Linked DNA regions of Oryctolagus cuniculus. The protein of the gene in region 1 interacts with the protein of each later gene in a biochemical or structural test. Links are inferred from orthologs where the notes say so. Each region holds a gene or a part of one and is shown on either strand. Other genes may lie near its edges. The genes, in order: PAX3 and SOX10.

Region 1 (3,369 bases):
ATGGAAGACCTCTCTGTCTCTCCCTCTCTCTGTGACTCTGCCTTTCAAATTGGTAAACTTGATAGGGAAGTTGGGCATTACAGTGTTGCTTCACCTACACTGGCCCGACTTTGCACGCACACACAAACACACACACACACAGCTGCTCCAAGTAAAGGGAGATAATGAGAGGAATACTGAGGAAAAAATGATGAACTGTCTTGCCCTCTGTCTCTCAGCTAACTGATGATGCATCAGTTGAAAGCGTTAGTTCAAGATTCCTTGGTTTTGGAATATGAGGATACAGGCCAGTTCCTTGTGCCCACCCACAATGCTCCCACCTTGCTGGAATCCTTACATCCAGGATTCTCTGGTCTGAGATTACCCTTGAGTGAGACCTGCTTTGCCATTAGCACCAAGGCCCATAGTCAGGGCTTGATTTTTACTTCTGCCCTCTCTTCTTGCTCCATTGGCTTTAAACTTCCTCAAATAAATCAGGACTGTTCTGGAAACATTGTGCATTTAAATACTTCTAAAGTAGGATACTTACTGAGTAAATATTTAAATATTTAAACAGAGAATTTAAATACTTTGTAAGTAGGAGTGCTTTGTGGAGACTTCACCCAGCAGTGAGTTTTTCCCGCAAAGGTTTTTGAGCCCTGCCATGGACATGTACAAAGTAGAGAAAAATCACTTTCTCTCTTATGTGGCAGTTTTCCAGCTGCTACATCAATCACCCACTTACTTCCATCACTGGGTGTTGGACGGGTCAGTGAGCTTGAGTTTGCAAAACATTCACCACGCTGATCGGAAAGTTGTTCTGTTAACACTCTTTTTTTTTTTTTTTTTTAAGTTGTTTTACTCTCCAGAGTTATTTATGAAACTGAACTTTTGAGAACATGTTTGCATTTCAGGCTTGTCTTTCTGTTTAACACTTCTCTATACAAACTGTTGTTTTAGAGAAGAAAAGAAAGAATAAATAATAATGGCAGTCACTTGGAGATTGTTTAGCTTTCATTCATTTGGCATGAAATCTGTGCCAACTACTGTGTTAGGTACTGGGATACGAAGTTACTCCTCTCCAAGTTCACGCAAGTCAAAAGAGGAGACAGAAATAACGATTCCACAGTGAGAAGGGCGAGAAAAGCGCGTGGGACTAACTCTTTCTAATTACTGAAGGATGGTCAAGATAAGGAGACAGGACACCATGAAAAAAGACACAGGGGTCTCAGGATCCACGGAAAAAGAGCTTGCTTTTGTATCTATTTAACTTTTTAAATATGTAAGCAAATGCCTGTTTAAAATCACATGCAAAACTCCCAGATGGAAGACACGATTAAACATTTTTTTTTCTATATGTGGAGATAAAATTTCTCTCCCTCTCCATCCCTTCTTTCTGCTTCTTTGAAATTCCAGTCTGATTTTATCACTGGAGACATGGTGTAATCTCTCTCTCTCTCTTCCCCTCTCCTTCCTTCCTCTCCTTTCCCTCGCTTCTCCCTCCCCTTTTCCTTTCTCTGAAACTGCAGTCAGATGTTATCTCTGGGCATGATGTAATAGCTCTGCCGCTTTGCATCGAGGTCACAGTCTTTCCGAAAACTCTTAACGGATTTCCAGAGAAACAGTAAATGGACTGTGCAGTTATTCATTCAACTACGGGCTACTCTGTGTTCCTCCCTGAATTTTAACTTCTTCCTCATTGGCCTGTTTGTTTTAGGTAATGGGACTTCTGACCAACCACGGTGGGGTACCTCATCAACCTCAGACGGATTACGCCCTCTCCCCTCTCACTGGGGGCCTGGAACCTACCACCACGGTGTCAGCCAGCTGCAGTCAGAGACTAGACCACATGAAGAGCTTGGACAGTCTGCCAACATCTCAGTCTTATTGTCCACCCACCTATAGCACCACGGGCTACAGTATGGACCCCGTCACAGGCTACCAATACGGGCAGTATGGACAAAGTAAGCCTTGCACTTTCTAGGGGGTGACTTCTCCTGGAGGGAAAATAAATTCAACTCATGCTTCAGCAAGGGGAACTGTAGGCATGATTAAGCCTTACCTCCCAAGATCGTTCCTGTGGCAAAGCCAGCCGACTGTTCCAGCAAGGCCTCCCTTGTATAATTATTTTCTTAGCTGATGTCAACAACATCTTGCGGTTATTAATTGCTGAGACGTGAAACCTGATTGCCACGAGGTAAAACACAGGGGCTGGCCAAAATGCAATAACCCCTGGCATTGGAAACACATGTTCTTAATGAGGTCAGCTCAAGGATCATATGGAGTGTAATCCCAGGGACACAGACTTGTGTCAAACTTGTCTCGGGAATAAAAATATTAGTCTCAATCCTTTGATACTATGGTATTAAATATGACATTGTCAGCCTGTAGCTGATATTGCCCCTTACTGTGAATTGTCCCAGCTTGACCTAAAAAGCTGCATGTGTTTCCTTACAGGTGCCTTTCATTATCTCAAGCCAGATATTGCATAAGTGAACTGTCCACTTGGAGCGAAAACTGGCCCTGTTTCTGGTCTCCACAGCTTAGACATGAAGAATCTCAGAAAAAAAAAATCAACCCTTTGGGGAGAGGGCAGTCCCAACAGGAGACAAAGAAGAGTGACCGATTTTCTTTCTCCAGTAGTTGGTTTCGAGTTCTCTCAAACGTGTTGGACAAAAGCAATGGAGAAGAGGAAGAGGTGGAGCAATAAAAGACAAATGCAACATTTTATTGCAATGGCTATGTGTCAAAATATCCCAACTCTTTAGTGCTGATGATCAAGGAGCTAAACATTCCATTTGCATGCACCCACACATGTATGTGCGTGCGTGCGTGTGTGTGTGTGTGTGTGTCTGAGATTTACCTTGACTTTTAAACTGTAGAAGGACAACACCCTCTCACATGTTTGATGTCCAAGCCTGATGCTTCTACAACTTCAAAACTGCTCCCTAATGAAGCAAGAATGGAGGACTCCTTAACTTGTACACACTGGAAATTGATATAAAAATAAATGGCACCATTTTTAGGAAGCTAGATTAGATATAAAGGACCTCCTAAATAAATTATTTGTTATTATATGCTCATTTGTAATCTAGTTGTCAATAAACGTCCCAGAGAAGATATGGGATCCCAGGAAGGAAAGTTTGTCTTCTTTTCCATTGTTGGGAGAGGTGTGTGGCATTTTCCCCAACCACATTCACTTGGAAGCCAATCTGGGTGGCAGTGAGGGCCTGGTGGAGAAGAAGTGACATGAATTCACATATCTGCTTATCAGTGTGCAATACTGTGTACCTCACAGATGCTTTGGCATGGCCAAGGTGATATAAACTAAATCAGAACTATATTTTTTGCAGGTGCTTTTGTTTTTACAGCCCATAACTCATTACAGTA
Region 2 (4,290 bases), on another chromosome or scaffold:
CTTCCCTGGAAGAGGAGGAACCGGGGTGGGGGTGGGGGCATGAACAGGGACCCACCGCAAGAGAGATGCCGGGCAGGCGGACAACGGGCGGGCAGCAGCGGAGTCGGAGACTGCTGCGGGCAGCCGGGACAGCGGCCCGGCCGGCCGGATGCTCGTCCCTCCGTCCCTCTGTCCATCCAGGGCGGCTCCTCTCCGGGCGCTTCTGAGGCCGGGCGGGCGCTGTTAAAAAGCTTTTTATGTGTGTGTGTGTCCATCACATGATTGCCGTTGCCGTTCACCTGTGCTTCGAACAAAGACGGCTCACTGTTTCAAGGCCCGAACAAGAGTCTGGGCACAGGGAAGAGAGGGAGGCGGGGGGAGGAGGGTTGGCAGCACCGGGGGTGGCGTCGAGGAAAACTGGGGGGAGATTGTCCAAGGCCAGCGAGCGAGAGAAAGAGAAAACCCTTATCAAACTCCTAATTCACTGGGCTCCGAGGCCCCGGACACACTGGCCCGATTGTCTGTCGGGTTGTGTGTGCGCAAGCATGTGTGTGTGTGTGTTCCAGTGTCCGCCGCCCCCACCCCCAACATGCCTCTGCCTCGTGTGACTACCTCATTGTGTCCCACTCCGCCCCCCACCCCCTTGGCTGCCCCAGACCCCCTTCCCAGCCCGGCTGCAGCCAGGAGCTCTTTGGGGTGGTCAGTGGGACCCAGGCTCCGCCTGCCCCTGCCTGCCTACCTGAGAGGGGAGGGGAGAGGAGCCGTGGGTGACGGTCCCACAGGAAGGACCACAGGGGGGCACAGGAGCACGTGGTGACTCCCCCTCCCAAGGGGAAGGAACTGCTCCCAGGAAGTGGGGCTCGATGACGACCCCATGCCAGGGGCCCCTCCTGTGCCTGGGTGGAGTTGGGGCGCCGGCACTGGGCAGGGAGCGTCCAGCTGCCCCCACTCGCCTGGTAGGGACCTGGCATCTCTGTCCCATTACCGCAGTTTGGGGCAGAGAGAGCGAACTGGGGGAGTGGGAGGCCCAGTGACACGGGCTGGGCCGCAAGGCCTGTTACGCAGGCGGCCGGACAGGACCCCCCCCCCCCCACCTGCCTCCCTATGTCTCCCATCCGTCCTTTGCCAACTGTGATCTTGCCACCTGAGGCAGAGGGTGAGGGCACCAGCTGGGCCCAACCCCACCCCCCCACCCAGCAACAGGTTCCCGCCCTGCCAGTCTGCACCCCCGCTCCCTGCCCCTGAGCTTCCCAGACTAAGTCCGAGCTAAGCCTAGGCGAGCTGGGTCTGGGCAGCAGTGCCCGGGCAGGGTGGGGGGGCCCCTGAGTGTTGGGGACGAAGGAAAGCGCTGGAGGCTCCACCTTCTGCCCTTCCCTCCCTCCCCTCCCCCTCCCCCACTCCCCCCCTTCCTTCCCCAGCCTCTGCAGCCCGCGGCTCAGTCGCTCAGTCAGTCTCAGGCTGTCCGGCCAGGGTGGCTGGTGCTGTGGATTCAGGCTCCGTCCTAAGAGGCCGTGGCCTGAGGCTCGGGGCCCCTCAGCCCCTCCCTCCCGGTCCACCAGCGCCACCCCCCCCAGCCCCGAGCTGGACCGCACACCTTGGGACTCGGTTTTCCACTTCCTGAGGACGAGCCCCAGGCTGGAGGAGAGGTCCGAGGAGGTGAGTGCGCCTGGCCGGCCAGGCCTGGGCCCCTGCCGGGCGGAAGGGAGAGGCGGACGCCCCGCGCGCCCCACACCTGCCCCTCTGGATCCGGGTCTGGTAGAAGGCAAGGTGAGAGAAAAGTGGGAAATTCCAGGGGCCGGGATTAGAGCCGAATAAAGGGTCCGTTTTTCTTCCTTTCCATCAACAAACCTCCACCCAAAAGGAGGTTTCAAAAGAAAAACCCACCCACACCAACAGACGGTTGGGGCCAGGTGGTGGGAAGGCGCGGAGGCGGGACGCGCCCACCTGGGGTCTGGCATGTGCGAGGGGCCCCAGCGGCCGGCGCGGGCTTAGCGCACGCAGGGAGGCCCGACACCTCGGGGCTGCGCCCGCGTCCCGGCCCGGCCGCCCTCGGGGCTGCGCGCGCCGCCGCTCCATTGCGCCCTCCTTTCCGACCAGGTGGGCGTTGGGCTCTTTGCGAGGACCCCCGCGGCGGGCCCGGGGGAGGCGGCCGAGGCGGCGGCGGCCGGGGGCGACATGGCGGAGGAGCAGGACCTGTCGGAGGTGGAGCTGAGCCCGGTGGGCTCCGAAGAGCCCCGCTGCCTGTCCCCAGGAAGCGCGCCTTCGCTGGGGCCCGACGGCGGCGGCGGCGGCTCCAGCCTGCGAGCCAGCCCCGGGCCCGGCGAGCTGGGCAAGGTGAAGAAGGAGCAGCAGGCCGGCGAGGCGGACGACGACAAGTTCCCCGTGTGCATCCGCGAGGCCGTCAGCCAGGTGCTCAGCGGCTACGACTGGACACTGGTGCCCATGCCGGTGCGCGTCAACGGCGCCAGCAAGAGCAAGCCACACGTCAAGCGGCCCATGAACGCCTTCATGGTGTGGGCGCAGGCGGCGCGCCGGAAGCTGGCCGACCAGTACCCGCACCTGCACAATGCCGAGCTCAGCAAGACGCTGGGCAAGCTTTGGAGGTGAGCGCTCCCCGGCCCGACCAGCCAGCTGCGACGCGTTCGCGCCAGGCGGGAGCGCCCCGTCTCCTGCCCCCCGGGGCGGGGTCTGCCGGGGGCCCTTTCCCCAGGGGCAGCCCCCTCCTGGGATGCGCCTGGAGGACCAGGTGCAGGGACCGTGCCTGCCTGGCCTCCACAGGCGCGCCTTTGGGTTCTGCCCGCTAGCGACTCGAACTCTGAACTGCAGCCGCCTAGGCCGGGTCTCTTCCCACCCCGGGTGGCGGCCAGGAAAGCGCCCCCTCGCGGTTGGAATTCTTTCGGTGGCACCTAGGGCCTCCGGGGCTGCTCCTCCGGGAGCCCACCACAGCCCCTCACTAACTCCCTTCCCATGTAGGTGCACACCCAAGGGGGCCAAACTGCCACCATCTCATCGCTCGGGAGGATGTGAGGGGAAAGGCTTGGGCAAGCACCGGGGGCGTAGCTGCAGATTCGGGGAAACTGAGGCAGCCAGCTGAGAAGTCAGGGGAGGTCTGAGACCACGGCGTTCGGATGAGGGGCAGGGAGTGGGGGTAGGGGTGGAGAGCTGCCAGGGGGTTCTCACCCTGGCCCACCTGTCTCCACTGGGTCCTGGCCCCGCCCTCCCTTGGGCGGGGGGGGGGGCTGCTTCTCTGGGAGGAGGGGCACCCAGGACACCTTGCTCTCTCCCACCCTGTTCCAGAGCCACCAAGCTGGCCTCTCTCCCTTCCTTGCTCTCCTGGTTGGGCGCCATCTTTCCTCCCAGGGCCCCACCCAGAGTTGAGCAACCTCTTCCCCACAGCCCCAGAGTTGGAGCCGAGCACTCTGGCCAGGAGGACACCCTGGTCTCCGTTCTGCCCAGGGTCCCTCAGAGCCCCAGGGACAAGCCCACACCTCTGGGGAAAACCGCGTAGGGGGAAAGCCTGGCCCCTTAGGGACGTGTGAAGCAGGGGACCCCTCAGCCCCACCCTGAGAGCCCTCATCCAGCTCCAAGAGGGAACAGAGGCTCAGGAGATGCCGGCCTGTGGTGGCCACCTGATCTCCATCACACTGCCCAGGACACAGGCCCAGAGAGGCAGGGCCACTGCAAAGGTCACACACCAGCTGGTGGCACAGCCGGGCCAGAGGTCTTCCCCCACATTGTGCCCGGCATGGTGGTCACAAGGAGCGGGATGGGGGGTTTCAGAGACTGGGCTCTGTCAGCGGAGCCTGCTGCCTGTCCCTCTCCACTAAGCCAGCAGGGTGGAGGTGAGGGCTAGAGGGCCCGAGGCTTGGATGCTGGGAGGAGCAAGAGGGTCCCTGCGCCCAGTCCCCTGGCCCGTCCTTGCCATGTGCTCGCCTGGTGCCCCTTCCCCTCCCCCACCAGCCCCTGCTCATCCTGGGCAGACCCGGGCTTGGTGACCAGCTGCTGTGTGTCCAGCTCTGCCAGGAGCAGAGGTCGCTGCTAGCTCCCCTCTGTCCAAGGCCCCTCCAGACCTGGGTGGGGCTTGGCCCAGGCTGGGTGCGCGGCGCCTTGGCCGCTGTGGAACAAAGAGGCAGTGAGAGACACAGCCAAAGGGAGGCAGACGGAACAGCGCCGGGGACCTTGGGCAGACCCACGCGTGAGCCCGGCTCTCCCACCACCTCCCATGGCCAGGGTCTCAGGTTGCCCCTCCATTGCCCCTGGCTGGGCTGGAGGTCCCTTCAGAGGGACTTGCTCCTGGCCAGCTCTTGAGCT

What was found.
Region 2: the proteins of PAX3 (region 1) and SOX10 form a complex in vitro, tested with the Homo sapiens proteins (2 studies listed by BioGRID and IntAct). The link is inferred for Oryctolagus cuniculus from reciprocal best matches to the Homo sapiens genes PAX3 and SOX10.

What each region holds. Positions count from the first base shown.
Region 1 is NC_091434.1:17,159,982-17,163,350, forward strand, and holds the end of PAX3 (paired box protein Pax-3), read left to right. Parts: intron 1-1,696; coding exon 1,697-1,943; intron 1,944-2,436; coding exon 2,437-2,467; coding exon of another isoform or gene 2,468-2,471; exon of another isoform or gene 2,472-2,622; coding exon 2,623-2,689; 3' UTR 2,690-2,709; downstream 2,710-3,369. UniProt on the Homo sapiens protein: Transcription factor that may regulate cell proliferation, migration and apoptosis. Involved in neural development and myogenesis. Transcriptional activator of MITF, acting synergistically with SOX10.
Region 2 is NC_091442.1:114,780,753-114,785,042, reverse strand, and holds the start of SOX10 (transcription factor SOX-10), read left to right. Parts: upstream 1-1,412; 5' UTR 1,413-1,635; intron 1,636-2,076; 5' UTR 2,077-2,154; coding exon 2,155-2,582; intron 2,583-4,290. UniProt on the Homo sapiens protein: Transcription factor that plays a central role in developing and mature glia.